3 linked regions of the Stegostoma tigrinum genome follow. The protein of the gene in region 3 purifies or fractionates together with the protein of the main gene of each other region. This does not show direct contact. Links are inferred from orthologs where the notes say so. Each region holds a gene or a part of one and is shown on either strand. Other genes may lie near its edges.

Region 1 (10,889 bases), on a different chromosome or scaffold from region 3:
AACTGCACACAGTACTCCAAATGTGGTGGAACCAAAGTCCTATACAACTGCAACATGACCTGCCAACTCTTGTACTCAATACCCGACCCAATGAAGGAAAGCATGCCATATGCCTTCTTGACCACCCTATTGACCTGCGTTGTCACTTTCATGGAACAATGGCCTTGAACACCCAGATCGCTTTGTTCATCAATTTTCCCTAGGACTTTTCCATTTACTGTATAGTTCGCCCTTGAATTTGATCTTCCAAAATGCATCACCTCGCATTTGCCCAGATTGAACTCCATCTGCCATTTATCTGCCCAACTCTCCAGTCTATCTATATTCTGCTGTAATCTCTGACAGTCCCTTTCACCATCAGCTACTCCACCAATCTTAGTGTCATCAGTAAACTTGCTGATCAGACCACCTACACCTTCCTCCAGATCATTTACATACACCACAACAACAGTGGTCCCAGCACAGATCCCTGTGGAACACCGCTGGTCACAGGTCTCCAATTTGAGAAACTTCCTTCTACTACTAGCCTCTGTCTCCTGTTGCCCAGCCAGTTTTTTAATCCATCTAGTTAGCACACCCTGGACCCCATGTGACTTCACTTTCTCCATCAGCCTGCTATGGGGAACCTTATCAAATGCCTTACTGAAGTCCATGTATATGACATCTACAGCCTTTCCCTCATCAATCAACTTTGTCACGTCCTCAAAGAATTCTATTAAGTTGGTAAGACATGACCTTCCCTGCACAAAACCGTGCTGCCTATCACTGATAAGCCCATTTTCTTCCAAATGGGAATAGATCCTATTCCTCAGTATCTTCTCCAGTAGCTTCCCTACCACTGATGTCAGGCTCACCAGTCGATAATTACCTGGATTATCCTTGCTGCCCTTCTTAAACAAAGGGACAACATTAGCAAGTCTCCAGTCCTCTGGGACCTCACCAGTGTCTAAGGATGCTGCAAAGATATCTGTTACGGCCCCGGCTATTTCCTCTCTCGCTTCCCTCAGCAACCTGGGGTAGATCCCATCTGGACCTGGGGACTTGTCCACCTTAATGTCTTTTAGGATACCGAACACTTCCTCCTTCCTTATGTCAACTTGACCTAGAGTAAGCAAACATCTATCCCTAACCACAACATCTGTTATGTCCCTCTGCTTGGTGAATACCGATGCAAAGTACTCGTTAAGAATGTTACCCATTTTCTCTGAAACAGCGCATAACTTTCCTTCTTTGTCCTTAAGTGGGCCAATCCTTTCTCTAGTTACCCTCTTGCTCTTTATATATGAATAAAAGGCTTTGGGATTTTCCTTAACCATGTTTGCCAGCAATATCTCATGTCCTCTCTTAGCCCTCTTCATCCCTCGTTTCAGATTCGCTCTACATTCCCAATATTCTTGCAAAGCTCCGTCTGTCTTCAGTCGCCTAGACCTCATGTATGCTTCCTTTTTTTTCTTGTCTAGTCTCACAATTTCACCTGTCATCCATGTTTCCCTAATCTTGCCTTTTCTATTCCTCATTTTCACAGGAACATGTCTCTCCTGCACGCTAATCAACCTCTCTTTAAAAGCCTCCCACATATCAAATGTGGATTTACCTTCAAACAGCTTCTCCCAATCTACATTCCTCAGATCCTGCCGAATCTTGGTATAGTCGGCCTTCCCCCAGTTTAGTACTCTTCCTTTAGGACCACTCCTATCCTTGTCCGTAAGTATTGTAAAACCTACAGAATTGTGGTCGCTATTTCCAAAGTAGTCCCCTACTGTAATATCAACGACCTGGCCGGTTTCATTCCCCAGCACCAGGTCCAGTATGGCCCCTTCCTGAGTTGGACTCCATACATACTGCTCTAGAAAACCATCCTGGACAGACCTTACAAATTCTGCTCCGTCTTGACCCCGAACGCTGAGTGAATCCCAGTCAATGTTGGGAAAGTTAAAATCTCCCATCACCACCACCCTGTTTCTCCTACACCTTTCCATTATCTGTTTACATATTTGTACCTCTATCTCACGCTCGCTGTTGGGAGGCCTGTAGTGCAGCCCCAACATTGTTACTGCATTCTTCCTATTTTTGAGTTCTACCCATATTGCCTCACTACTTGAGTCCTCCATGGGGCCCTCCTTCAGTGCAGCTGTGATATCGTCTTTGATCATTACTGCAACTTCTCCACCCCTTTTACCTCCCTCTCTATCATCAATATCCTGGGACAACTAGTTGCCCGTCATGCCCTTCCTTCAACCAAGTCTCAGTAATAGCAATAACATCATACCTCCAGGTACCGATCCAAGCCCTAAGCTCATCTGCCTTATCTACTACACTTCTCGCATTAAAACAAACGCACCTCAGTTCACCTGTCCCTTTGTGTTCATCATCTGCTCTCCGACTACTATTCCCTTTAGTCACACTGACTCCATTATCTAGTTCCCTACAGGCTTTCGTTTCTACCTCTTTTCTGTCCAATATTTGGTTCCCATCCCCCTGCCACATTAGTTTAAACCCTCCCCCACAGAATTAGCAAAAGCACCCCCAAGGACATTGGTTCCAGTCTGGTTCAGGTGTAGACCGTCCAATTTGTAATAGTCCCGCCTTCCCCAGAACCAGTTCCAATGTCCCAAAAATCTGAACCCCTCCCTGCGACACCATCTCTCAAGCCACGCATTCATCCTAGCTATTCTTTCATTTCTGCTAGGATTTTGGTTAGGCTTTTTGGTTGGTACTCACAAAAGATCTTGTTTCTTCCTCAGAAGTTGGCACTTCAGAGGGAGAACTCTGAACTGGTTCACACTCAGACATGAACTTGTGACCAAATGGATCATGTTCATAATTTGGTTAATCAATCATTAAGATTTCTTGATCTACATGAAAAAATCCAATCTTTCCGTTATATCAAATAAGTATCCTTTAGTTCAGTAAACTTGTCTTACATTTCTCACATCTGAGACTTTGAGAGAGGTTCAGAATGTAAACATAGTCATTTTTCCTGAAACTGTTCTCTCTTTTGTTTACATTGTGCTGACATCTTTTGACTGAACTGTTTGTGTTCAAGGGTACCAGTCAAATTTGGTAGAACCAAACTCAAAAGTATCCTTAACTTTCTCCTTATCAAACCCTGTGGTAGGGTGTGAAGTTGTTTGACATTTCAGGAGAAAATTAGTCAACTCTGTTTCATTTTGAAATTTAATCACCTATTCTCTGCTTGTTTTTTGAGTGTTATCACAAATCTTTCGGCTGCTCCATTTGATACTGAAAAGTAAGGAGAAGTAAGGATTTATTTAATGCTATTTTGCTTCAGGATTGTTTTTTACAGAATAGAACACAACAGAGGACTATTATCTGAAAAGCTCCTCAGAAAATCCGTGACAAATAAAGATGGGCCATAAGTCAACGATTGTACGTTTTTAGCAAAAATGTTTTCACCCAGTTATTTATTTTGATCCATTTTGAGTAGCTATTGCTGAGCAGTAATACATTTTAATGAAAGTATGCATTGACTCTTTGAAACGGACAAGTTGACTGTGACCACAATTGCAAATAAATATTTGAAGGTTTATTTTGCCTTTGATTCCAAATCACAGTCAAGCTCAAGTCAATAAACAAATTCTTTTGTTAGAGATTTTGTACTGAATTTTGCTGTGTGTTCCATGTTGAGCTCTGCCAGAAATGTATGCCTCAAATACAAACGTGGCACTACTATGTGAACCCACTTACTATCATAGTCATTGAGGTCTACACCACCGAATTGTGTCCATGTCAATTAGAAACAACCACCAAAATATTTAATCCCATTTTCCAGTGCTTTCAGATTTCTCCAGCATCTGCAGTTCCTATTATCTCTGATATCAAAAAATGAGGTGCCAATGTGGTGAAGCCACTAATCAGGACCATTTGCATGCCAAACAGTACAACAAGATGGCACATCAGATGGAGGGTCTAGGCCCGAAACATCAGCTTTCCTGCTCCTAAGATGCTGCTTGGCCTGCTGTGTTCATCCAGCTCTACACCTTGTTATCTCACTTTTTGGTATGCCTGGTGCTACTCCTGGCATGCTCTCCTGTACTCTCCATTGAATCAGGGATGATCCACTGGTTTTTTATGCTGGTCCATGAGGTTGCGGATTGTCCTGGAGTATAATTCTTCTGCAGTTGATGGCCTGCAGCGTCTGGTGGATGCTCAGTCTTGAGTTGTAAGATTCATTCAAAGTCAAAGTAACTGTTTTACTTTCTTAAAAGTAACTATATAGTAATTTGTTAAGTGTAGTCCAGTTCTGCAGAAGAGGGCTCAAGACTGGAAATGTTAATAAAGATAACAAGGTGTAGAGCTGGATGAACACAGCAGGCCAAACAGCATCAGAGGAGTGGGAAAGCTGACATATCGGGTCTGGAGCCTGCTTCAGAAAATATATTGTTTGTTTCAGATTCCCAACATCCACAATATTTTGCATTTATATAGTAATTTGTTCTTATTATTAAGTAGTCAACCCTTACTCTGTATGTATTACCAATGGAAAAAATTTGTGCAAAGAGCAAATTGGTGTGACATACAGGGGGTTTTAAGAGTTTTAAAAATATAATTACAGGGTAATCTGAACATATGCTTTGCTTTACGTTAACATTCTCTCAAAAATACCTCGCATTCTGTGACATAAGCAATAAAAACTTTTAAGATTTTACTAATGTTTAAATTGAAGCCTACTTGACAACAAATAACCCATATGTTTTTGTTCCTGTCGGCGTGCACTTTCTGCCGTTATATCCAACAATGTTTCCGAGTTGTGAAAATGTTGGAATCAGCTTCAAAATATGAATCAAGTCATCAAAACTTTAAATCAAAATCTTGCGATTCTGTATCTCACGGAACCCTGTACTTGGATTTTTTTTTAATTTAAAACTTGTAATGCCTTATTTTCGACGTTTGGAGATGCTCTTGCTTCAATTTTCCACTAGACCGTATCCCAGTCCTGAAGTTCCTTCGGCTAAACTTTTATTAACGCTGCACCACTTCCAAACCGGGAATAAGGCGGGCCGCGGTTCTTCACCCCCACCCCCTCTCAATCAATTCGTATTCGGGGGCTGTATATTGATTAATTCACCCCTAAGAGGTGCTGCAATTCTTTAACTACGATGTATGTCTTTTGTCGCATTTACCGTGCACGGAGAGACATAGAGATATGTAGATAGATAGAGAGAGCAGGAGCACGTCTGTTGTCGACCTTGTTCCCCTTTCTCTCTTCCTTTCGCTTTTCGAGCCCACTCCCCGAGGAAAATCACTGCGTCTGGAGGGTGCCCTACTCCACTTCTCTGTCCCAGCGTGCTCTAGTGGGAATTGGATTTGGGGTTTGTGGGTTTGAGTTGACTAGTGTTGACAGTGTCAGTGACTCCGTGCCTCCCTCCCCCGCTCTCCGTTCATTGGTGCAGCCGGAGACAAATTGGCGCCATTTTGAAGCGTTCTAGGGGCAGGCGGCAGAGGCAGCGGCGGTTGAAGAATTAGACTGGACCGGACTAGTCTGGGGTTCTCACACGGGTGAGGAGACGAACCGTCACTAATTTTGCGGATCTTCTTTGTCGTTGTATTGTATATGTATACACGTTGTTGCTGCTACTGCTGGTGGTTTTTATTTCTGCGTTTCGTTGTATTGGCGACCCCGGATTTATGGGTATTTACCGTCTGGTGTGGCGGCTCGGCTTTCCATACATGCCCGTTTCTGCCTGGGCTTCTTTCTGTCTCGCTCTGCCTTTTATTTTCCGCCCCCTTCACTCAGTCGGCGATGCTTTTCCCCGCTGTGGTTTTGTTTTCAGCGATCGGCAGAGTGGGTAATCCTGGCTGCTGGACCTTGGCGGGCGGGGTGAAAGCCTTTTTGGTTTCTGCTGTAACTCCTGGTGAGAAATCTTGATTCTTCGCCTCTCTGTGTGGGGACCGTAAAGACGGAAAATAATGGCGTTTGAAGTGTAACTGCTGGATGCTTAATTTCTCGTAAGGGTTGAGTTTGCAAGATTTCGGGGCCTGCTAGTACTCATGTTTTTGCTTTGGCCTAGAACTTGACGTATTCGAGCTCGTCCACATATGTATTTTTCCTGTCTTCTCTTCTTCACCCCCGCCCCCCAACAATTGCTTTCAGCAGCCTGTATATGGTGGCTGTCAACGTTCAGGGCAAATTTTTGATGCAATCGCCGTGTTCTTAGAATTTGTCATTTTCGTCCCACTGATAGCATTCTTGATCCTCAACGGGTTAACAGGTTTTGCTGCGCAAGTATTATTTCCCCGTTGTTATTCAAAACGTCAGTCATTTGGGTGCTTTCTTTTAAAAAGAAGTTTTATCATGGTTTGACAACATTTTAAAAAGTACCCTTCTGGGCAAGATCTTTTGTGCCCAATTTTGCTGTCTTTTTGAGAGTGAGACAAATTAGGGTGGGGGAAATACTGTACCAAAAAAACTTGCTAGTTTTTTTCTGTACTTCAAAAGTACATTAGCTGTATTTAAATTCTTTCCTTAATCTGATAGTTTAAATAATTTGCTCTGAATTTGAGGAAAGTGCTTTTATTTTTAAAGATCAGTACAAAACTATTGTGTAAACAAATCAATCATAGTAGTTAACTTAAGATTTTCCTGTCCTTTGTGATGATGGTGTTGCAGGTTATGACCCCATACATTCACAGTAGAAAGATACCTGTCAAGAGTGTGTTGTAGGAACATATGTTAAAAGAGAAAGGCTAAGCTGTTTTGTCCTTTTTGAACTTGTTCACCTGCACCAATATCCATCCTGCATTATAATCACATTCCTTCATTTTGTCAGTTTCCAAAAATCACGTGCCTCTGGAGGATTCTAAATGTTCACAACCTGTTGGAGTTGAGGCAATCTTGTCTCCAGTGTAAGTGGTGAACTGTTTCTAAGGCTGACCCCTATTTCTACAATACCCAACCAGGAAAGCATTTTCCAGAATTGACTTTGCGAAGTCACTTAATGTTTATGCTTTTGAGATGACTTCTAATGTTGAAAGCCTGGTGATCATAGGCCTAATCTTTTCGGTCTGACATCTGAAGATAATTCTCCTCCATCCCATTGTAGAAACTAATTTTGTGAATTTTTACATTTCTTCTGAAGCATTGTTCCTTGTTCCTTGTGCCTTGAATAAGGAGACTAAAATTGTATATAGTACTCCAGATGTTATATTATGAATGTAATTGAAATGAGTTTTTAGAAGGTAGAAAAAGGCCCCTTGTGTCTGCACAGATCATTAAAACATAGATCTGTTCTAATCCTATTTTCCATCAGCACTTGGCTGATAAAGCCTTGTATGCTTTATTTCAAATGCTCATCTAAATAGTTCTTAAATGCTTTTAGTTCCTGTCTCCACTCAGTTTTTTTAAAATGTAGTGAGTTCCAGATATCCGCCATCCGTCTGGTCAACAAACCTTTAGCCTCCCTTTTTGACCCACCATGCTGCTTACTTGAAACATATGCCTCTGTAGACCAAGAAGAAAAGTTTCTCCCTATCTGTGCCTGTCCGAAGTTAGTTGGTGCACCTCAAACAGGCTACTGGCGTTCTGTAACCACCAAACAAAACCTCACCCAACCTTCTCTGCTGGAAGGGAATAAAACCCCAGTTTATCTAATCTCTGTTCCTAGCTGAATCACTCCAGCCTGGGCAACATCCTGGTGAATCCCCTCTGCATCCTTTCCAGTGCAGTCACATCCTTCCTTTATTGTGGTAATCAGAAATGCACACTGTACTCTGGCTGTGGTGTAATCAACATTAATTACAGCTCCATTATAATCTGTTTGCTGTTATAGTCAGTATATTGACTAAGAAAGGCAAGTATTCCATTTGCTGCCTTAACCACCATCTCTGCCTGTCCTGCTGCCTTCAAGAATCTCTGGACATGCGTGCAAAGATCCCTCTGTACTACTTGGGGTCCTACTATTCAAACTATTCCCTTGCCTTGTTAATTCTCTTAAAATGCACCAGCTCTTAATTTTAGTGTGGTAATTGTAGCGATATGTATTTTCCCTTGTGGCTCCATTATTTCGTAATAGGGACTAACATTAGCTTACTTAACTACTTGCTGGTTATGCGTATTAATTTTTGTGATTCATGCACACAATTACCCAGGTTCCCCTGAATACAAATATTTAGCAGGTTTTTTTTCTATGTTCAAAAAATTCTACTCTTGGCTGCCAGTTTGACTAACTTCATTGCATTGTATTCCATCTGCTGTGATCTTGCCTGCTCTCATCTTTAATTGATCCACATACCCCTTGCAACATTCGAGTTTCTCTCTCTTTAGAAAATTAGGTGAGAAAATATCATGAAGAAATGTGTATATATTACTTTTGATCTTCTCAAATTTACTGATTATTGATTGAAAATAGCTGAAGCCCAAATGTTGGTCCCATTGTTTCCTCAGTTGCAGAGTGCCACCTTTTAAATCCTTTATTATCCCCGGTCTATTCTGACCTTTAATCAAACTTCAGTCCATTCAAATGTTGCCCCTGTTCCAAGGGAGCTCATTTTGTGTGAGAACTTTTTTTTTTGGCCAACTTTTCTTGAAAGTCTAGATATATGTTGTTTTATCTACCATGACGTTGTGTTCTAAAGAAAACACTAATTCCCTTTCATAATATGATAATGCAGTCACAGATTTTATGATTTTTAGGTGCCCTGTTACAATGATAGTAGTAATAATACGTTCTTGCATTTTTGCTGCTACTGATACCAGGTTAACTGTTAGTTTCTTCTTGAATAGCAAGGTTATGTTTGTTTTCTTCCACTCAACAGGGAGTGTTCTAGAATCTAGGGAATTCTGTGATCAAAACCTAATACTTCACTGTGTAACTTATTTATTAAAAGTTCTTTTTAGGTGCTGCCCATCCAGAATATTTGGCAACTTTACCGTTATTAGTTATTATTTCTCTCTGCTGGTACTTATTTTTTATTTCCTTAAGCTCCTCATTTTCTTTTGGATCCTTGGTTCCCCACTAGTTCTGGGATTCTTTGTCTTTATTTGTACCTGTGCCCAAGACACATTCCTTCTGACTATAATTTCTTCTACCTCTGGTAAAGGACCTATGTTTAGTTTTGCTCACTTATGCTACAGAAATTTTTTATGTACTACTGAATTGTTTACAGACTTAGTCTGCTGCCGGCTGGTATCTTTCTTCAACTTCTTCATCCTTTTTGAATGCTTTGATTCCCCTCAGTCCTCCAACTTATCACACTCTCTTGATGGTTTCACTTCTGTTGACTACAGTTGAATTACTTTTTAAATGTATGCCGATTACCAGTTTTCAACTTCAGAATCATCTTGTCATTTATGGATAGTGTACCACATTTGGATTCTAGTCAGTTGTCCAAGCAAGGTTTGACGAAGCTGATTGGACGGAAAAGACAGAGTTTTGAAACAACCTCCTTGAGTTCATTGGAGCTTCTTTTTTTAAGTGGTGTCAAGTAGCTAGTGCAGAATACTTTTTGACTGCATATTTCTAAAGTAGTTGAAGTTAATTAAAATACTCAAGGGAAGCTGACCACGAGCTAATCAGGATCTGCAATCGTGCAATTTTTCTTTTTTTTTAGAGCTAATGAGGATGGTTTTCAGGATGAGAAGTTGGAACCTGACTTTTGTGTTCAATGTTCACTCCAAACACAAGTGGACAAGAGACCCAAAAAGTAGGTAACTTTGTTGCCAAGCCTGTGCAACATTGTTTAACTCGCTACCTTGGAAGCCACGATCCCCAAGGATTGAGTTGAGTATCTTGAGATGAAATAGAATTTTCGGTTTGAGGAGAGAGAGAGATAATATTCTTCGCTATTTGGAAGCTGGTGTGTTCAAGTCCAGTGCTGGGGTTTATACGCAGAATCTAGGCTGGCAATTCACTAGAATATTGATGCAGTTGTTTTTGTGGCACGTGGCTGTGTACAAGGCTGATTTTCCCCGTAACGAGAATTACAAGAGCTCAAAATAACTAATTAGCTGTGAAATACTTTCTCACACACCGAAGATTTGTAATGTTCAATTTGTAGTAAATTCTTCCTTCTGAGTTATACCGCAGTGAGTGTAATAAACTGGTCAAGCTCATTACGATCTCTGCATCTTTCCAAGAAGATTTTTTTTGTACCAGAGCTAATATGTCAAAGCATGACTTTCTTTTTTCAAAGTTTTAGAATAACGTGTGCTGTAAAGGGATATTGACATTTAGATTGCACCTACCTTATTGTTAGGTGCCTCATTTTATCTTTTTTTCCTCAACTGCAGTTTGTGGTCCCTGCTTGTTTACTGATTTGAATAGTGGTTCTTTTGAATTCCAAAGCCTGAGCCAATATCTAGGTTGGAAAGAAAAATGTCATAATGACTTGTTGACCTTGATGGTTGTTAGTTCAACTGTTGCTTGTTGTAGATTCTATAAGTGGAGAAGAATCGCTTGTAGCTTTACACAATCAAGTTTAGCTTTGGTTTCAGTGTTTAGCAGTTATCTGTAAGTCTGCAAATGTATTTTTGAAATAGTTATTTTGCACTACAGTTTTTGATAATTGAAATCAATTTTGCCTGAAGTCTTAATCTCGTGGTTTATCATGAGGTGTTGGCAATCTTGTTTGTTGATGAAGTAACAATACTGCAGAAGCTGGAAATTTGACACAAACTGACAGTGGAAGGTGTAAATACAGCTTGAGAGGACGTTAGCACTGTGGTTGCTACAGTTTTAAATTGTTTCTTATGTTAATGTGGCATTTCAGTAAATACTGGAATGTTTCTATGTATGTAGAACTGAGAGCATCCAGTTTCTGGATGATTAATTGATCCATATTCACTGTGAAAATTTACAGTAGCAACTTTCATTTCTAATAGGGTCTTTTGAAGTTCTAAAACATGCCCCGGTGCTTCAGAAGAATGTCTT
Region 2 (10,662 bases), on a different chromosome or scaffold from region 3:
ATTCCAGATAGGTTTAGTCTAATTTCTCTATGATTCAATTCTATCCCTCTTGAAATAATGCCTGGTATTTGGTTAGTTTATTTATAATGGCCTTGCTAATCTGTGATGCAATTTCCAGTGATTGGTGTATCTACAATCTGTAATCTGTTTCTCTACCCCATCGAGACTTGTACTTTCCATGTAAAAATTGGCCTCTCTACTCTTTCAATCAAAATCTATTACCTCACACCTACTTGTGTCAATTTGCCAATTATTTGCCCATTCTTTACATTTATTTATGGCTTTCTGCAATTTAATGGCAGACTTCCTCAATATTGACAAGCCTCCAATTTGGCATCATCTTTAAACTTAGAAAGTGAATTTGTTTATTCTAAATTATAAATCAATCCCTTTATCCACTTCTACTCTGACTCTACATTCTTTGAGCTTATTCATTACGAGCATCTTATTAAATATCTTTTTGGAAATCCAAAATTATATTGCTGCATCGTCTAGGCAGCATCAGAGGAGCAGGAAAGTTACTGTTTCAGGTTGGGTTGGGATCCCTCTTCAAAAATGAGGAAGGGGGAAGGGAGCTCCAAAAGAGAGAGGAGGGGTGGGGCTGGGGAAGGTAGGTAGGATGGTGATAGGTGAGTGCAAGTAGGCAGCAGTGGGGATTGGTCAGTGAGGTGGGAGGAACGGATAGGTAGGAGAGAAGGTGGACAGGTTGTGTCACCCTTATTGTTCAGTGGGAATGTCAACAAGTTCTGTCTCTGTTATATACTGAAGTAGAATATGAACATGAGTATACAAAAATAGCTAGACCATTTGTCCCATCATGCCTGCTCAGGGACTCAATATAGGTCATGTTAAATGAATTCTTTAATATTTCTGCTATCACTCTATTGTTATCTGTGGCACTATTCTTTTATTTCTTAAAAGCCCTATTCCTAGCTTTTCTTTTTTATTGCTGTGCATGTTAAATACTTATAAAATACATACTTTGTTTTGTGTTTCTTTATTATTCAATTCCGTAGTATCTCTTTGCCTCCTAATTTCTACATTATCTATAATTACGCACACCTCTGCTGTCTGTGTATTAATGCATGTCTCTTTCTGAAATGCAAATATTCCCTTCTCCATGGAGTCTCGCTGGTTTAATTTTGTTTTTTTTCAGAAAAATGCATTTTTCCTAGACCCCGCTACTGTACAAATGCTATGAAAAACAATAATTTCCCAATAATTATTTGAGATCTGATAGTGTTCAAACTTATGAAAGGAAATCACAGATGAGGAAAACCTACTTACAATGTTTGCCAATGGTAACTGAAGCAAATAAATATAAGAATATATGTAAAATAAACATGTGTTTAGGATTTTTTTTAATCATGAAGAGTTGTAAGTTGTAGAATGCCCTACTGGGAAAAAGATGCAAGCTACATGGAAAAAAAAATTACACTTGGTAAAGCACAAGTGAATGTACTTTGCCTGTGGAATTTAATCACATTCAAAACATCTGGAATCATTCTATAAACTGTGGTGGTATAACTGCAAGTATCTATGGAAGTATAAACTTCACAGACAAAAATGACCTTCCTCATGTTATATTTTTTCATTCGAGTTTTTGTACATGTGGCATTCACAACTGCCCAATCAATTAAAAACTAGATACAAAAGACCTAATTTGCAGTCAATGGATTCTTACCATTTGTGATGGTCATTTTGTGACTTTTGAGCTGTGAATCATATTGGCAAACTTATTGGACAGCTTTTCCCAGCATTATTTAAATGCAAATATGTAAACTTTATTGAAGTCTTGTTTGTTTTATTGCCAACAGGTTCTCAATTTTTCACTTTTGGAGCTGTTCCTTCCAGATTGCATATTTTGTTTTGTGTTCCTATATAATTCAATTCCATAGTACCTCTTTGCCTCCTAAGCTCTACATTTTCTCTTATTATGCACACCTCTGCTCTCTATGAATTGATGCATATCTCTTTCCTAAATGCAAATATTCCCTTCCCCATGGAGTCTCACTGGTGTTAAGGTTGTTCTTTGTTTCTTTAGTGAAATCATCAACCCCCATGGCAACTTGATTTTACAGTGCATAACAGTGTGTCTCACTGGTTTTCACCATATAGTACAGTGGTATAAAAACAACCTGATAATGACTTTCCCAGATGCTGATAATGATGAAGTAAACAAGTTTGTTTTTATACAGCAGCAATTTCTGTTGTTTATGTATTTAAAATTCATTAATTTTGTAATTGATGCAATATTCAATTGTTCGTTACTCATTGATTAGAATAGCAGCTGAAGCCTTTTATCTTCTATTAAGCAAAATTCGCTTTCCACATCATCATCAGTGTTGATTAACATGAATGAATTGTACAACAGTGCTGTGCATGAAATTGTAAATCTTCTAGAGATTTGCTGCCGCAATGAGGACAATTAAAGTAATATCAATTTGCTACAGTATCAATTTATTTTATTAACACTCCTTGTTCTCTTGTTCTGACTCAGAATGGATTGAAGGTCTACTCTTTCAATTCAAATGATTAGATAATTCAATTATTGCACTGAAAAATAAATTACTTTGACTTATCAGTAGACTGTATCAGAATCTAAATTATATTGAATCAAACATTAGTGTAGTGATTGTAATGAGGTCAGTCAGGAGGACCTCATAGAATATGAGTTCTCTGATTGGGGCTGTTAACCTGGTCCAATCAGGGAACCCTGGATGACAGACAGAAACAAGAGTATCAGAGGTATTGTTCACTTTGAGATCTGGCTCTGAGGAAGTCAACCCAGTGTCAGGTACTGCGCACGTGTAAATAAAGGGGGCTTGGTGAAGGGATACTAGCCTCTGTGGAGTTACTTCAATTAGTTTCTCACTTATAAACTGTACTCGGAATATGTTTCCACATGTATACTGACAACACCCATCTCCATTACATATATCCTCGCTCAGCTCTTTCATGGTTTCTTAATGAACTTCAAGCTAAATAACAGGAATCTCAAAACCATTGTCTTCATTGTCTATTCTTTAGCTACGAAGTCCATCAAAATTTGTACTTTTGACTAAGCTGTACTGCTACTCATAAGTTGGTATCTATATGATTCTAAGTTGAACTACTGATCACATAACCACTGCATCAAAACTGCCGTTTTTTTAAAATTGCTGCAAGGTTCCTCTTACTTCCGTTACCTCAGCTCATCTGCTGTTGAAACTATCATCCATGATTCTGTTATCTCTAGACTTAGTTGTCCCAAGGACTTATGGCTAGCCTCCTACTTTCCAAAAATGTTAGGTTATGTGAATCTCTTGCTGTCTGTATATTATACAAAGTCCTGTTCAACCACAACATTTTGAGTTTGTTGATCATGGTCTGAGAATGCATCAATTTTTAATTTTGCGCCTGTATTTTCAAATTCCTTTAGCGTCTTAGTATTCTCCTACCTGTTCTACAACTCTCTGAGATCTCTGTGCACTTCAATTGCTTTGCTTATCACTGATATTAATCATTCTACCACTGGTGGTTATGCTGTCAATTGCCTAAGACCTTAGGTCTGAAGTTCATTCACTAAACCAATTAGCCTCTTTCTCCATAGGGATGAATCCTAAAAGCAGTTTTTAATCATCCCTTGTACTACTTTCTTATCTGAGTTAGTATCAAGTTTTGTTTTGAAAGTCTTTTATTCCTGTGATGCACTTTGGAACCTTTACCACATTAAAGTACAGCACAGAAATTATATGTAACAGCTGAATCAGAACTGTTTCTGCAGGATTCTTTCTTGCATCCTTTGAAAATATTAAAAGTATTTAATTGATGACACTACCACAAGAATGATTGCTCTGGGCAGTAAATCTGTTTTGCAATCTAGATCTCATGTCAATTGCACATATGGTAAGAAAACAAAATATAAATTATAACCAGCACTTAACTGAATACATTTTATGTGAAAACTACTGGAAGCAGAAATATTATAGAATTTCATGAAAATAATTAAACAGAAGGTGGAGACTCCACAATCATTCCTTTCCTGGTATTTAATATATCTCAGTTGACCAGTGAACACAATGCTGAAATGCTTGCAATTGTCTTCAATGACAAGTGTTGAGCGAACGATGCATTCCAAGCTAAAACTGAAGGTCTCTGTATTGGAGATGCCAGTCTTTAGCCAATTCTATCAATTCTATTTACCCCACGTGATGTCAATGCAACTTCATAGACAAAGCATATGAGCCTTGGAAACATCCTCGCCATAGCACTGATGACTTGCACTTCAGGGCTAACCATACTCATAACTGAATTGTTCTACTAGAGCTAAAACACTGGAATCTAATCAACAAAGTGCAAATTATCCAGGTATGTCCTGTCCACAAAAGCAGGATAAATTCATTCTGATCAGATACCCCATCCCATTGATCTCCTGTCAAACATCAACAAAGTCCAACTCCAGGGGAGAGGCTGTGGAATTTTGAAATCAGTTGCTATATTGAAATATATGAGAGAATGGTAAAGTATGACTTGCCTTTTGCTTTTCTTACCTAAAGTCTAAATCTTGTGAATGATACAAAGAAATATCTTAAAATATCTCTGATTTCCTGAGTGTTCATCCATATTCCCACTTAATGCCATTCAAGGTATTACCTTCTTCAAATACAGATGTACTTAGAGAAAGATTTATTCCCTGCAATCTTAAATGGCTTCTTTACTTTGCAGATTAACCAGCTGTTAAGTCTTTATCTTGTCCTTTTCTTCTGTTTATCACCAAACTGGACAATTTAGATTTGAGGATTGTAAATAATCTGATTAGTCATAAAGTCATAACGCATGGAAACAGACCCTTTGGTCCAACTAGACCACACTGACCATATTCTCAATCTAAACTAGTCCCACTTGCCTGCGTTTGGACCATACCCCTCTAAACCTTTCCTATTCACATACTTATCCAAATGTCTTTTAGATGCTGTAACTGTACCTGCATCCACCACTTCCCCTGGCACTTCAAACCATGTACAAACCACCCTCTGCGTAAAAAGGTTGCCTCTCGTGTCCTTTTTAAAACTTTCTACTCTCACCTTAAAATATGCCCCCCAGTTTTGAACTTCCCACTGTCAGGGAAAGATCCTTGCTATTCACCATACCTTCTTTCATTTTGGTTTGTCCAGAGTATAAATTTACATTATATTTTAACACTGTGCCATTTTTCTATGCTTCATCCCTTGAAAACACAGATTACTCTAATTAACTTCTTCATTACTACATAAGGTATCTCAGCCAGAGTGTTGGGTACATTTCTGGGTGCCACATTATTGATGCATTGTGGAGAGAGTACAGAAGCTGTTTACAAGAACAGTTCCACAGATGAGGAACTTCAGTTAGATTGGAAAGGTTGGGACTATTCTCCCTGGACAAACAAGGCTAACATGAACTCTGACAGCAGTTTACAAAATCATGAGCAGGCTGGATAGAATCGAAAGGAAGAAACTGTTCCCAAATGTAAAAGGAACAAAAACTAAAGGACATAGATTTAAAATGATAAGTGAAAGAAGTAAGGATAATTTTATTTCACTCAATGAGTAATTAGAATCTGAATGCACTGTCTAGAAGTATGGTGGACGCATGTTCAATTGAGGCATTTTGGATAAAAGATAACGTGCAAGAATATGGGGCGGGGTGTGGCGAAGCCGGACATTGGAATTGGGCAATGATGCTCATTTAACCAGCAGGGATAGGTATAATGGGCTGAATGGCTTCCTTCTGCTCTGGGACACTCGTGATTATTTGTTCCGACATCCACCTTCTCAAACCAGTGTTTTCATTGTCGTCTCCTCTATGTTGAGCCCGATTTAGTGGGTCAGAGTGGGGAGTCCAGCCTGACCGGCTGAGAGTTTCCTGCATTTCCTGTCTGTATTTCGGAATTCTGGTACCTTTTCTCTCGTATTCTTCTCTGATGCCGGGTCGGCTGCGCTATCATTTGGCAATAAACTCTTGGAACTCATCTGCAAGGAAGTTGGGCGATTAATTGAGGACCAGCTCGAGGAGATTTGTTGAAACGCTGGTACTTTGCGATTGTTTATTGCCAGCTCTCTCTGTATAAGGTCCCTGTAATCTCCACCAGTGTCCGGGTTTTTTTTAAAGACGAGAGCAGAAGCGTCAGCAGGTCCGATGGCTGGAGGGAGGGCTGCGAGCTTGCACTGGGTTAAAAATAGTGTATCGTCCTGCAGTCTTTGCTCGCCCAGCTTCTGCTCACTTCGCTATCAATGTCTGCCCTGAACAGCATTCTGGGTTAGGAATGTCAACATGGCTGCAGACATCGGAGAACTGCTGGTGCCGTACATGCCAACCATCCGAGTCCCTAGATCAGGGGACAGGGTTTACAAGAGCGAATGCGCCTTCTCCTTTGACTCCCCTGTAAGTAGGCAGGCTGCCCTTTTGGGAGGGGGATCGCGCACACGGAAACTTTCTCGCTGGAAGTTTTCCACTGACACGTGAATGACTGCACAAACTAACGATGCTCCTCTGGATTTAGGAACCTAACTGATAGCGACAGGCTGTCGACAGTGTGGCAGTTCTGGACTTTGTTAAACGAAACAGAGAGAGACCGCAGCAACTCAGCAACCTAATGGGGCCAGAATGTAACAGAAAGCAAACAAAAAGTGTGTGGGGCTTGACATGTCAGTGGGCGTGTGATCCCGATCATTTAAACAGAACTAAGGAGGAAAGTCTTACAAAGCAAAGCGTCAGGAGTCAGCTAGTATTATGATTTGTCAGCTTTATTTGAACGAGTAACGTTCAATTTCAAAAAGCACTTTAAAAGGCAAGTTAAAAGTAAGGGACTTCTTAAATATGTTTTTAAAGAGTTATGGAAAGGAAGAGAATTAAAGTCAAAGGTGAAGGAAGATACTTTTTAAAATAACTTTTTAAAAAACTTTTGAAAATTCAAAAAGATGGCACATAGAAATGCTACTTTTGTTTTATCAAAATTAAATACAAATGTTAAAGTATAGTAAAAGGTGACTCAGCTGTTTGGCGTGCATCAACAGTGCCTGAGACAAGTTATTTATATACGGAGAGTTTGGGGGTCGCGGTATCGTATTTCTTTATTAATACACTGAAGGTTGTGTACTTCTTAGTTTAAAAAAACAATAAATTAATGTATTTACCAATTATTGATTTTGTGGTAGTGGTAATTTCGAAAATATTCTTAGTTAATCCTATGTTTCTTTTATTTGATATGTAATGTGATCACGGTGAAAATATAGAACGTGTGTTGCCCGCCATCAAGTGGTGAACGGGTATATGGAGCGCCTTCCCATCCCGGTGTAAAATCCAAGCCAGACCTTGTCATGGTTTGTTATAGTACTGTTTGAGTAGTTTTTATTTGCTGTTTCCTCTGAAGGCACAGAATTTTTTTTTTCATTATTTGTTCTTAAGACCAAACAAGTAGTCAGGAAAAACCTTCTAACTAGATACAAAAACAGAAATTGGTGGAAAAGCTCAGTAGGTGTGGCAACATCTGCGCAGAGTAACCAGAGTTAATGTTTTGGGCCCAGTAACCCTTCCTCAGAAGTGAGAGGGTGTAAATTTAACTTTAACTTTGTGTAAGTTATAATTCCAACCAACTGAGGGAGATCTGACAAAGGGTCACTGGACTCAAAATGTTAATTCTGATTTCTATCCACAGATGCTGCCAGACCTGCTGAGCTTCTCCTAGTAATTTCTGATTTTACAGCATCCACGGTTCTCACTATTTAGTTAAAAGGAAAACCAAGAGAATATGAAACTTGCTACCACAAAGGAATAGGTTAATGAAATATTGCACATAGATTTGAAAGAATTATTAATTGAGGAAATGTGTAAGTGTTTGGATTATTTAAAGTAGGAGGAAGTTCATACATTAACAATAATAACTTGCAGAAATGAAACTCCTTCAACAAAGTAAAACACCGTAATGTACAGGACAGAAGAGTTATTGAACAAAGTTTGATGCTGAGATATGTAGGGAAATGCTGGAGTAATTAACCAAAGGCATGGCCATGTATTTACAGACTCTCTTATAAAAGGGAGCGAGGCAAAGAAATTTGTGGAGGGAATTCTCAAACTTGGGTCTAGTTGACCAAAGACCTGGTTGTCAATAGCAGGCCAAATCAAAAAATGGAATTTGAGGTGTGTAGAGATCTTTAAAGTTTCATGGATTGCAAATTTAGTAGTTTTCTTTGTGTAAATCCTAATTCCAAGCAAAAAAAAATGCTAAAAAACTGAGGGCAAACTACATGAATTTAATGTATATTCCTGTCTTTACAGTGGGAGCTCATCAATTCTAAACTTTCATTAGATTTGTGTAAAAATCTCTACACCAGAGATAAAATATATTAAGGTTTTTTTTGCCCAAAGTGACCAATTTACACAATTTCGATTATAATATAGTGTAGGAACTTTGTAATGGAAAAACATTGGCACAGAATGTGGCACCAAGAAGTAATGTTTGGAAGATAGTTGATTACTTTGTCATAGAGTCATACAGCACAGAAACAGACCCTTTGGTCCAACCAGTTCGTGACCAGCATATACTCTTATTAAACTAGACCCACCTGGCAATTCCTGGCACATATCCCTCCAAATCTGTCCTATATGTATACCTTTCCAAATGTCCTTTTAAATGTTGTAATTGTCTCCATATCTGCCACTTCAGGATGTTCATTCCACATGCAAACCAACCTCTGTGTTTAAAAAAACAAATGCCTTTCATGTCTTTTTCTAAATAGCTCACCTCCTCTGACCTTAAAAATGTGCCCACTAGTCTTGAAATCCCCTATCTGAGAGTAAAGGCAACTATCGTTAACTCTATGAATGCAATACAGCTCAAGAACAGGCCCTTTAGCCCACCAAGCCTGTGTCGATTCTTATTCCTTATTTAAACCTACTAATTATTGCCCATCGGCAGTTTGAGTCCATCTGTTAGCCTCCCATTCGTATGTCTATCAAGATGCACCTTGAATGTTGCTAATGTGCCTGCTTCCACCACCTCCACTGCTAGTGCATTCCAGGCACCCACCACTTGTGTGAAGATTTTTTCCCGCACTTCTCCCCTAAACTTTCCCCCTCTCATCTTGAACCTGTGCCTTGTTGTTGTTGACTTTTCCATTCTGAGGGAAAAAGCCTATTACTACCTATGACCACCCTATCTATGCCCCTCATAATTTTGTAGAACTCTTACCAGCTCACCCCTCAGCTTCTGTTTTCACAGGAAGGACAATCAATCAGAGTTTATCTAACCTCTGCTGATAACTAAAACCCTCCAGACCAGGCAACATTCTCTCCAAAGCATCCACATCCTTTTGGTAGTGTGGCTAACAGAACTGCATGCAATATTCCAGATGTGATGTAACCAAAGTTTTGTACAGCTGTAACATAACATGCCAACTTTGAAATTCTATGCCTCGGTTGATGAAGGCAAGTGTACCATATACCGCCTTGCCCACCTTAGCCACTTGTGGTGCCACTTTCAGGGATCTGTGGACCTGTACACCCAGATTCCTTAATATGTCAATTCTCCCACGGGTTCTGCCATTTACTGTATGTTTCATACCTGAGTTTGATCTTCCAAAATGCATCACTTCATATTTGTCTGGATTAAACTCTATTTGCCATTTCTGTGTCCAAGTCTGCAATATATCTGTATCCAGCTACATCGTTTGACAATCCTCCTCACCACCTGCAATCCCCCCAGTTTTGGTGTTACCGCAGACCTACTAATAGAACCACCTAGATTTTTCCTCCAGATCATTTACATATATTACAAACAACAAAGGTGCCAGCACTGATTCTTGTGGAATGAGTCAAAAAGGAATAAAACTTGATAGACTGATCTGTTACTCAACTAGTCACTAGAAAAAAACCATGGCACACCTTGCACAGTTGATCCTGAAAAAGCCTCCCTCACTAGCATCCGGGCACATGCCAAAATTGAGTGTTGTCCCATAGAAAAGAAAACATTCAACACAGTTATACTCAATAAATCATATCTTATTCCTATATCACCATCTCTGGATATGACATGTCCCACTAGACTATACCCCTCATTATTTTATGAACTTCCATCCTGTCACCTCTCAACCTCCTACACTGCAGTGAAAAAAGTCCCAGCCTATCCAGCCTTTGTTTATCACTCAAACCTTCCATACCCAAGAGGGCTCTCTTCTGCACCTCCTCCAGCTTAATAATATTCTTCCTATAGCTGGGTGCCCAGAACTGAACACAGTATTCCAGTACACAGTATTAGAACATAGAACATAGAACATAGAACAGTACAGCACAGAACAGGCCCTTCAGCCCACAATGTTGTGCCGACCATTGATCCTCATGTAAGCACCCTCAAATTTCTGTGACCATATACATGTCCAGCAGTCTCTTAAATGACCCCAATGACCTTGCTTCCACAACTGCTGCTGGCAACGCATTCCATGCTCTCACAACTCTCTGCGTAAAGAACCTGCCTCTGACATCCCCTCTATACTTTCCACCAACCAGCTTAAAACTATGACCCCTCGTGCTAGCCATTTCTGCCCTGGGAAATAGTCTCTGGCTATCAACTCTATCTATGCCTCTCATTATCTTGTATACCTCAATTAGGTCCCCTCTCCTCCTCCTTTTCTCCAATGAAAAGAGACC
Region 3 (10,856 bases):
GGAGCTTTCAGAAGGGAGCAGTTGAGTAGGGGAATGGAGATCGGTTTGGGGGCTGAGCGGGACCTTTCAGAAGGGAGCAGTCGAGTAGGGGAATGGAGATCGGTTTGGGGGCTGAGCGGGAGCTTTCAGAAGGGAGCAGTTGAGTAGGGGAATGGAGATCGGTTTGGGGGCTGAGCGGGAGCTTTCAGAAGGGAGCAGTTGAGTAGGGGAATGGAGATCGGTTTGGGGGCTGAGCGGGACCTTTCAGAAGGGAGCAGTCGAGTAGGGGAATGGGGATCAGTTTGCAGATCGAGAGGAGGTTTTCAGGACTGGAGAGTGTGATTACCTGCGAACTTCTGGTCACGCTCCTGCCTCTGCTTCTCCAGTTTCTGTGCTGTCAGCCACTTGCGTGCCTCCTGCTGCTGCAGCTTCTTGCGCGCCCTCTCGTTTAGGTCCTCGCCCTCAAACTTCTGCAAACTGGAGGGTCCGCAGCGGGGGTCATCATCACTGACCCGAGCCGGCTTGTCCTTCTTCAGCTGCTCTGGGTCCCACAGGTCGAACTCCCGCTGGTCCTCTGGCCTCTGGTACCGGGTCCAGAATTCTTTCACCTCCTGGTTCAGCTGGCGGACTCTCTCCTGTTCCTGTGTCTCAAGGAGCTGGGCCGTCTTGTCATAGCGGAGGCTGTCTGCATCTGCGCAGGGGATGGGTGGCGAATAAGACATACACATACACTGTTCAGCATTGATTACTCATTCACTCTCTATCCGGAAGTCTTGCCAAAGGTCACTCTTAAATAACACACAGTGCCCGCTTCCTCAGCACTGACCCTCTGACAGTGCCCACTCCCTCAGCACTGACCCTCCGACAGTGCCCACTTCCTCAGCACTGACCCTCTGACAGTGCCCGCTCCCTCAGCACTGACCCTCCGACAGTGCAGCGCTCCCTCAACACTGACCCTCCGACAGTGCCCACTTCCTCAGCACTGACCCTCCGACAGTGCCCACTTCCTCAGCACTGACCCTCCGACAGTGCCCACTTCCTCAGCACTGACCCTCTGACAGTGCCCACTCCCTCAGCACTGACCCTCCAATAGTGCCCACTCCCTCAGCACTGACCCTCTGACAGTGCCCGCTCCCTCAGCACTGACCCTCTGACAGCGCCCACTCCCTCAGCGCTGATCCTCCGACAATGCCCGCTCCCTCAGCACTGACCCTCCGACAGTGCCCGCTCCCTCAGCGCTGACCCTCCGACAGTGCCCACTCCCTCAGCGCTGACCCTCCGACAGTGCCCACTCCCTCAGCGCTGACCCTCCGACAGTGCCCACTCCCTCAGCGCTGACCCTCCGACAGTGCCCACTCCCTCAGCACTGACCCTCTGACAGTGCCCACTCCCTCGGCACTGACCCTCCAACAGTGCTGCACTCCCTCAGCGCTGACCTTCTGATGGTGCCGCACTCCCTCTGCACTGAACCTCCGACAGCGCCTGCTCCCTTGGCACTGACCCTCTGACAGTGCGGCACTCCCTCGGCACTGACCCTCTGACAGTGCGGCACTCCCTCGGCACTGACCCTCTGACAGTGCGGCAATCTGTCTGAGCTGAATAAGTAAAGCTGCCTCTATACTTTTAAACAGAAAGGAAATGACCCTCTACACTGTCTCAATCAAACACACCCAGGATCAGCACAGGGTTAGATTCCCAGTAAAGCTCTCTCTGCACTGTCCTGCAAACACACTGTTGTATCAGACTGTTTGGAGTGCACTCCCTTGCTCCGCTATCCCTGTTTGGGTTTGGCTCTCTCTCAGATTGACTTGCTGCTTCATGCTGTGACGAGGTCTCGTGTGAGTATTGGGGCAGAGCAGCGGATGGGAGGAATTACCAAAAGCTTTGTCCCGCAGACGTTCCCTGTCCTCTCTTGCCGCCTTATCCAGTACTTGCTGATCCAGGAACGGGGTGTCCACCTTGACAGAGAAGCAAAAGAGAAAATTGCAGCAGCCGTGAGGTCGGTGGAAGAGGAAGAGGAAGAACTGGCAGGTCTCAGGCTGACCATTCGGCTCATCTGTCCCATGCCACTACTTTAGCTCCACATGGACTCCCTCCATCCCAATGTTACTTAAGCCTCATCGATGGGTCCCTCCATTCCTTTCTCCAACAGGCCCCCTACCCTATGAATAGCCCCATCAAATAATCGCCCCCTCCCCCCTTTCACAAGACAGGCAGCCCCTGTTTGCAGGTTGATTTGGTCAATTGCAGTTAGACCACAATGCAGGACAACATAAAATAATCATTGCTAAGTACAGAAAACGTTTGTGTATTGGATCTTAAAAAATGACACATAAAACTGAAAGACCTGCAGACACTGGAAACCAGAAACAAAAACAAAAATTGCTGGAAAAGCTCAGCACGTGTGGAGAGGGATCAGAATTAATGTTTCGAGTCAAGTGGCCCTTCTTCATAACTTCAGAATCCCAAAGAAAATAATATTCTGTAGGTTTGGAGTTTTTTGTATTCATTCATGGGGTAAGGGTGTTGCTGACCAGCATCATCCATCTCAGTTGCCCTTTGAGAAGGAGAGGGTGAGGTGTCTTCTTGAGCTGTTGCAGTCCCTGTGTGGTGTAGGGTCACCCCGAACAGTGCCCAGTTAGGGAGGGAGTTCCAGGATTCTGACCTCGGCGACGACGAAGGTACAGTCCGTTATTGTTCACAGTTGGGATGGTGTCTGTGTGTGTGACTGCTCACAATCTTAGAGATTTTATTCAATTTAAATTCGATGAACTGCCACAGTCCAGGTCTGCTGGATTACACATGCAGAGATAGAACATAGAACAGTACAGCACAGAACAGGCCCTTCAGCCCACGATGTTGTGCCGACCATTGATCCTCATGTATGCACCCTCAAATTTCTGTGACCATATGCATGTCCAGCAGTCTCTTAAATGTCCCCAATGGCCTTGCTTCCACAACTGCTGCTGGCAACGCATTCCATGCTCTCACAACTCTCTGTGTAAAGAACACGCCTCTGACATCCCCTCTATACTTTCCTCCAACCAGCTTAAAACTATGACCCCTCGTGTTAGCCATTTCTGCCCTGGGAAATAGTCTCTGGCTATCAACTCTATCTATGCCTCTCATTATCTTGTATACCTCAATTAGGTCCCCTCTCCTCCTCCTTTTCTCCAATGAAAAAAGTCCGAACTCAGTCAACCTCTCTTCATAAGATAAGCCCTCCAGTCCAGGCAGCATCCTGGTAAACCTCCTCTGAACCCTCTCCAAAGCATCCACATCTTTCCTATAATAGGGCGACCAGAACTGGACGCAGTATTCCAAGTGCGGTCTAACCAAAGTTTTATAGAGCTGCAACAAGATCTCACGACTCTTAAACTCAATCCCCCTGTTGATGAAAGCCAAAACACCTGCTCTTCAAAGGTTTCATTCACTACAAAGTTTGTTTCTTTCGTAAAGACAGAAGCAAAAAATGTTACCACTATGCTACCAATTCACATTTTTCCTCTCCAATTACAACAGAATAGAACGGTACAGAACAGAAACGGGCCGTTAGGCCCACAATGTCATGCCAAACAAAACGCCAAATTAAACTAATCCTTTCTGCCTGCCCTTGAGCCACATCCTTTCATTCTTTGTATATTCATGTGGTTATCTAAAAGTCCCTTAAATGCTCCTATCATATCTGCCTGTACCACCACCCCTGGCAGCACGTTCCAGACTCCTACCACTTTGTGTAAAAAATCTTGCCCCTCACATCTCCTTTGAACTTTCTGCGTCTAACCTTAAATGCATGCACTCTAGATTTAGACATTTAATCTCTGGGAAGAAGATTCTGATTATGAACCCTATCTATGCATCTCATACTTTATGGACTTCTATCAAGTCTCCCCTCAGCCTCCCCCACTCCAGAGAAAAGCACCCCAGTTTTACTAACCTCTCCTTCTAGTTCAACCCCTCTAATCCAGGCAGCATCCTGGTGAACCTCTTCTGCACCCTCTCCAAAGCCTCCACATCCTTCCTGTAATGTGGCAGCTGAATATTCTAAGTGTGGCCTAACCAAAGTCTTCCTAAGCTGTGATATGTCAGCCTGACTCTTGTACTCAATGCCCTGACGAATAAAGGCAATAAATTACTCTCTTCTTAAAGATTGAGGGCAAGTTTCAGACCATTAGTAAAGTCGTGACAGTCGTACTGGACCATTGGCATGACGTCTCATTAGAGACAGTGAAACAACTCGTGGTGATTTCACCTGAGGGTCGCCAGACCTCAGGTGGGGTGAAGAGGTCACGAAGCAGAGCTCTTTCATGGTAACTTCAGGCAGCGTGGGAATTGAAGCCATGATGTAGGCATCACAAATCAGCCAAAACGAGCTGGCAGACCCTACCCCCCAACCTAAGGGAGAGGGCAGGAAGGGATAAATGGGAGACCACTCCCTGATCCCGCGGGCATCTGCCCAACAGCCCCTCACACCAACATGTCGGGTCGCTCACCCCGATGGTCCTCTGCCTGGCATTGAAAATGCGGCTCTGGCGCTGGGCCTCTGCGTTTCTCCTCCGCTCGATGGCTGCAATCTCCTTGGGGTCAAGGGGCAGGTCCAACTTGTACATGTTGGCTCTGTTCACACAGTATGAAACAGATTAATCTGTAGAAATTATATTTATCTTCAGTGGGCTTTGGACTTTGGCAGTGTTTGAGTCTTTGCTTTCCCCTGGGTAGGTGGCCAGCCACCATTCATTCACGAAGACACCCAGAAGGAGTGCTCTCCCCAAACACTAGACAAATTGTTGCTAACTTGGCCACTGTAGCAAACAATGGTGGGGGGACGCTTTGGGTCGCCATAGCAACAAGCGAACATTGCGAGATGTGGGGGGTGAACCAACCATTCTTCACAAAGCGACACGTCCACCACTTCTCACCGCTCTGGAGAATTGCAACAGCCTGTCAGAACATGAGATCCCAGTAAAAGTCAGTGCGGTACAGCCACCCTCTAACCAGGATAGCTATGTTGAAACTTTGGATTTATTTGACTCCCCCCCCACTTCCGAGCTGAATGGGATGGAACATTCCACCTGCCCCCACCATCTGAATGCTTGACATACCCCTCGACCAATCGGAAGGCGAATCCCCTCATCCATGCGGCCAATAGAATGCGAAGACCTGGAGGGCGGGCTATGCGGATACCGGACAACGCATGCGCGGCGCAAGCTCCATCGGGAAATGTAGTTCTCGTTCCGAGGCATGCCTAGCGCATGCGCCTATTTTCGAACGGCACTCTGGGCGTTGTAGTCCATCCGCTCATTGGCTTCCAAGGTCCTGACGAGGGAGGGAACTACAAATCCCAGGAGGCCGTGCCGAGCGCCATTTCCCTCCAAGAGGCGGGAGGCCCTACTGTTCGCTGAAAGCCTCGATTGTTATTTTGGGCAGCGGCGGTTGTTGTTGGTCGCCGACGCCATGGGCTTCCTGCGGCTCATCGAGATCGAGAACTTCAAGTCGTACAAAGGCCGACAGATCATCGGGCCCTTCAAGAAGTTCACGGCTATCATCGGTCCGAATGGCTCGGGTGAGGAAATCGAGGCCGAGGCTTGGTGCTAGGCCTCCACCTCCTTTCCCCCTTGTTTAACCCTCTCCACCAACTCGGGGCAGGGGAAATAATGCCCCTGGTTTACCTCGGCATTTAGTGTCAAAATGTGGAGAATTTTCCATCAGCATCAACATTTTTACTTTTTTAACCTATATCCATAAGAAATTACACTTAAAATAAAACACTGGGAGAGAGGAGGAGCTGGGGATGAAGGAGATTCATCAGGACGTTAAACAACCAGAACAGTACAGGCCCTTCGGCCCACGATGTTGTGCTGACCTATATAATATACATTATATATTGTTATATGTTGCCTGGGAATGGAATATTTCAGCTCTGCAGAGACAAACTGTTTTGGAGCAGAGAAAGCTTATTGTTTGGGGGAAGATCTGAAAACGTTTCTGAAGATTGGTTTGGTGTGTTTGAGCTGTAGGGAGAGCCTGAGGGCTATTTTCCATGGAGCGTCAGAGGCTGAGGGGGGGTGAACTTGTACAGATTTAGACAATCACGAGGGGCACAGATAGGGTGAATAGATGAGGTCTTCTCCCCCAGGGGGTGGGGGGAGTCCAAAACTAGAGGGGCATAGGTTTGAGGTGAGAGGGGGAAAGGGACCCGAGGGGCAAGATTTCCACGCAGAGGGTGCAGTCTGTACGGAACGAGCTGCCAGAGGAAGTGGTGGGGGCTGGTGCAATTACATTTAAAAGGCGTCTGGATGGGGACATGAAAAGGAAGGGTCTAGAGGGATAGGGCCCAAATGCTGGTAGATGGGAGAAAGGTTAATTTAGTATCTCCAGTCGGCATGGATGGATAGGACGTTCTACTTGCAAAAATGACCCTGAACTACCTGGTGCCTGCCACTTCAACGCACCCCCTTGCTCCCTGGCCAATATCTCTGTCTCTGAGATAGTGGGAACCGCAGATGCTGGAGAATCTGAGATAACAAGGTGTGGAGCTGGCTGAACACAGCAGGACCGAGCAGCATCAGAGGAGCATTAAGGCTGACGTTTCAGACCTAGACATTTCTGTCGTGTTCCAGTGAAGCCCAACGCAAGCTGGAGGAACAACACCTCATTTTCCACTTGGGGACCCTACGTCCCTCCGGACTCAATAATGGAGTTCAATAATTTTAGCGCCTAAACTCTCCCATGTCCCAGCCCCTCCACCCTACACACCAGGCTTTGTTACACACCCACTGTTGTTAGGCACTAACTGTCCCCATTAACAACTACTCACCCTCTGGTTGGGGTCACCGGACCCAAAACGCTAGCTCTGTTTTCTCCTTCACAGATGCTGTCAGACCTGCTGAGCTTTTCCAGCAAATTTCATTTTTGTGTTTTACCAGGATGCTGCCTGGATTAGACGGTATGAGTTTTAGGGAGAGGCTAGAAAAACTGGGATTGTTTTCTCTGGAGTGGCAGAGGCTGAGGATTATAGACTTGATAGAAGGGTGTAAAATTATGAGATGCATAGATAGGGTTTGTGAACAAAATCTTTTCCCCAGAGCTGAAATGCCTGACACTAGGGGGAAGGTATTTAAGGTGAAAAGGCGAAAGTTCAACGGAGATGTGAGGGGCAAGTCTTACAGTGGTAGGCACCTGGAACATGGTCCCGGTTGGTGGTGGAGGCAAGTACGAAAGGGGCATTTAAGGTGCTTTTAGATAAGCACATGAATGAGCAAGGAATGGAGGGCTGTGGACCAAGGACAGGTAGAAGGGATTAGTTTGATGTCATGTTTAGCCCAACGTTGTGGGCCGAAGGGCCTGTTCCTGTGCTGTATAGTTTTATGTTCAAAGCCTATAATCCCACACTGTGCCTTCCCGGCTCGAATATAATGTGGGAAAATGTGAAGTTGTTTAGTTTGGAAAGAGGAACATAAAGACTGTATCATTTAAATGGAGGAAGACTGCAGAGAACTGCAACTCAGGGACATGGCTACATGTAGCAAGGAGTGAACCTTCCACCGTGTCCCAGTCCACTCTTCTGTCACTTCTCATTTTTCCTCACCATCCTATTCCCTCACTTCTGTGGACGCTCATGGCAATTTTCTACCTGACAGTGCAAGGTTTGGCCCTTGCTGTTCTGACTTGGGCTGCTGCCGCCTCGCCCACCATCCCCACCACCACACTAACACGCACGCAAAACACTCACTGGTCTCAAATGCACGTTTGGGGTGAAATGGCATTTGGGAGCTTTACAGGTACTTCTTTCGCTTTGGTCTGTCAAGGTCCTGCTCGCAATCTAAGAATCCCCTCTTAACAACAGCAAGACTAAGTGCAGACTATGCAATGCCTCCGCCCTAGCTATAACAATGAGCTGCCACTTTTGTTTTGCCATTTCAATGCACCATTTTGTCCCTCTGCTAATGTTTCCACACTAAACCCACTAATGTGCCCCAGTGAAGCTAAACACAAGTTGGTGGAATGACAGTGATAACACAGTGTAGAGCTGGGGGAAGCACAAGCAGGTCAGGCAGCGTCAGAGGAGCTGGAAAGCTGATGTTTCGGGTCAGGACCCTTCTGAAAATTTGATTTTCTGAAGAAGGGTCCTGACCTGAAATGTCAGCTTTCCTGGTCCCCTGATGCTGCCTGACCTGCTGTATTCCTCCATCTCCATACTGTGTTATCTCTGACTCCAGCATCGGCAGTTCTTACTACCTCTGGTGGAATGACACCTTGTTTTCTGCTTGGCTACTTTACGTCTTCAGAATTTAGCATTGAGTTTAGCAACTTCAGGGCATGATTTTCTACGCAACATTCTGATTGTAACCTGCCTCTTTTCTCCAGTGCTTTGTTTGCATTTTGCTCCTTGCAATTTTTCTCACCTACTGTACATCTTTATCCCTTCTCTCCCACCATTAGCATTCCCTTTGTCTTTTGCTTGATGTCTCCTCACCATTTGATTCACTCACTTCTCTCCCTCCTTGGTTGACAGTTTAAAGAAAACACCATTATCCCACCCTTTCACTTCTGAAGGACAGTCCTAACAAACTCAAAACATTATCACACACTTTCTGTCCACATATGCTGCCAGACCTGCCGGCCCTCCACCATTTTCTGCTTTTAGTTAAAAAGCTGAAGAACTGGTTTGAGGTGGATGTGCCCAACATATCCCCTTGATCGATTTTCCTCCCTACTCCCTGGGCACCACGATGATCTTCGTCTCTGGATTTATGAATTGCAAGATGTTGGTTCGCAGATGCAGCAAGTAGTTAAGAAGACAAATCAATATTGTCCTTCGTTGCTGGGAGAATGGAGTATCGGGTGCTGTTGAGGCCACGTCTGGAGCACTATGTGCAGTTTTGGTCTCCTTAGTTGCAAAAGGATGCACTGGCACTGGTGAGGTGCAGAAGAGGTGTAGCCCTCCTGGATTTCTGCACTGTTTTTCCTCTTATGGGTCCCTGATTTTTATCTCTCCACAGTGGGTTTCCCTGTATACGTGAGCCGCCTACCACCCCCTACTTCATCAACCATCACCCTCCCCTGTAGCCCATGCACGTATCCATCCATTCCTTTCTCCCTTGTGTTTTCATCCAGCTTCCTCCCCTTTCTCCTCCTTGAAACTCATTAATCCCTGTTGAATCTCACATTCTTGCCCACTCTCTGGGCGTAGGTATTTCTGCAAAATTCCCTGTTTGGACTTATCATTGTCTCATTGATTTCCTCCCAACTCCACCTCTAGTCCCAGCCTCCCGCTACAATTTGAAATTTGACTTCTACACTCATTTCGTTGTTTCTAAGTTGTTTCGTTGATCTGCTCACCCCTCTGCCTTTAATCTGTTGTGTAGTACAGAGTAATGATGATCTGCGTCCCTTTCAATCAGGCAAATCGAATCTCATGGATGCCATCAGCTTTGTATTGGCAGAGAAGACGAGTAACCTGAGGGTGAAGACGCTGAAGGACCTGATCCATGGTGCCCCAGTGGGAAAGCCAGCAGCCAACCGCGCCCTGGTCAGCATGGTGTATACCGAAGACTCTGGTGATGATAAGGTGTTCACCAGGGTCATTGTGGGTGAGTAGTAGACAAGGGAAGCCGTGGGATTTGTTTGCGCATTGGGTTAGACAGATACTGACCTCTAGTTTCCGCACAGGATTGGTGCAACACTGTAGAGCGGGTTACACATCATCCCTGTACTACACATTCAACAAAGCAGCACCCCCTTGGTGTAATGCTCCCTTGGCGTTGGTCCTCTGACAGTGTGGTGCATCCTTGGCAATTCCATCTTCCATCAATTACTTTGCATCGGTATTCACCAAGGAGAGGGTCATGACAGATGTTGAGGTTAGGGATAGATGTTTGCTTACTCTAGGTTAAGTTGGCATAAGGAGGGAGGAAGTGTTGGGTATCCTAAAAGGCACTAAGGTGGATAAGTCCCCAGGTCCGCATGGGATCTATCCCAGGTTACTGAGGGAAGCGAGAGAAGAAATAGCCGGGGCCTTAACAGATATCTTTGCAGCATCCTTAAACACGGGTGAGGTCCCACAGGACTGGAGCATTGCTAATGTTGTCCCCTTGTTTAAGAAGGGTAGCAAGGATAATCCAGGTAATTATCGAACGGTGAGCCTGACGTCAGTGGTAGGGAAGCTGCTGGAGAAGATACTGAGGGATAGGATCTATTCCCATTTGGAAGAAAATGGGCTTATCAGTGATAGGCAGCATGGTTTTGTGCAGGGAAGGTCATGTCTTACCAACTTGATAGAATTCTTTGAGGATGTGACAAAGATGATAGATGAGGGAAGGGCAATAGATGTCATATACATGGACTTCAGTAAGGCGTTTGATAAGGTTCCCCATGGCAGGCTGATGGAGAATGTGAAGTCACATGGGGTCCAGGGTGTACTAGCTAGATGGATAAGAAACTGGCTGGGCAACAGGAGACAGAGAGTAGTAGTAGAAGGGAGTTTCTCAATTGGAAACCTGTGACTAGTGGTGTTCCACAGGGATCTGTGCTGGGACCACTGTTGTTTGTGATATATGTAAATGATCTGGAGGAAGGTGTAGGTGGTCTGATCAGCAAGTTTGCTGATGACACTAAGATTGGTGGAGTAGCTGATAGTGAAGGGGACTGTCAGAGATTACAGCAGAATATATATAGACTGGAGAGTTGGGCAGAGAAATGGCAGATGGAGTTCAATCCGGGCAAATGCGAGGTGATGCATTTTGGAAGATCAAATTCAAGGGTGAACTATACAGTAAATGGAAAAGTCCTGGAGAAAATTGATGTACAGAGAGATCTGGGTGTCCAGGTCCATTGTCCCTGAAGGTGGCAACGCAGGTAGTCAAGAAAGCATATGG

What was found.
Region 1: the proteins of structural maintenance of chromosomes protein 1A (region 3) and sister chromatid cohesion protein PDS5 homolog B purify together in Homo sapiens (affinity purification with western blotting; 8 studies listed by BioGRID and IntAct, with this or other methods). This does not show direct contact. The link is inferred for Stegostoma tigrinum from reciprocal best matches to the Homo sapiens genes SMC1A and PDS5B.
Region 2: the proteins of structural maintenance of chromosomes protein 1A (region 3) and usp13 purify together in Homo sapiens (affinity purification with mass spectrometry; 5 studies listed by BioGRID and IntAct, with this or other methods). This does not show direct contact. The link is inferred for Stegostoma tigrinum from reciprocal best matches to the Homo sapiens genes SMC1A and USP13.

Annotation. Positions count from the first base shown.
Region 1 is NC_081359.1:81,957,187-81,968,075, forward strand, and holds the start of sister chromatid cohesion protein PDS5 homolog B, read left to right. Parts: upstream 1-5,402; 5' UTR 5,403-5,520; intron 5,521-5,564; exon of another isoform or gene 5,565-5,876; intron 5,877-10,889. UniProt on the Homo sapiens protein: Regulator of sister chromatid cohesion in mitosis which may stabilize cohesin complex association with chromatin. May couple sister chromatid cohesion during mitosis to DNA replication.
Region 2 is NC_081367.1:37,018,270-37,028,931, forward strand, and holds the start of usp13 (ubiquitin carboxyl-terminal hydrolase 13), read left to right. Parts: upstream 1-6,142; 5' UTR 6,143-6,291; coding exon 6,292-6,402; intron 6,403-10,662. UniProt on the Homo sapiens protein: Deubiquitinase that mediates deubiquitination of target proteins such as BECN1, MITF, SKP2 and USP10 and is involved in various processes such as autophagy, endoplasmic reticulum-associated degradation (ERAD), cell cycle progression or DNA damage response.
Region 3 is NC_081402.1:3,136,385-3,147,240, reverse strand, and holds the start of structural maintenance of chromosomes protein 1A, read left to right. Parts: upstream 1-5,332; 5' UTR 5,333-5,433; coding exon 5,434-5,542; intron 5,543-9,383; coding exon 9,384-9,572; intron 9,573-10,856. Other genes in the region: RIB43A-like with coiled-coils protein 2, read right to left, coding at 326-670, 1,856-1,937, 4,473-4,589. UniProt on the Homo sapiens protein: Involved in chromosome cohesion during cell cycle and in DNA repair. Central component of cohesin complex. The cohesin complex is required for the cohesion of sister chromatids after DNA replication.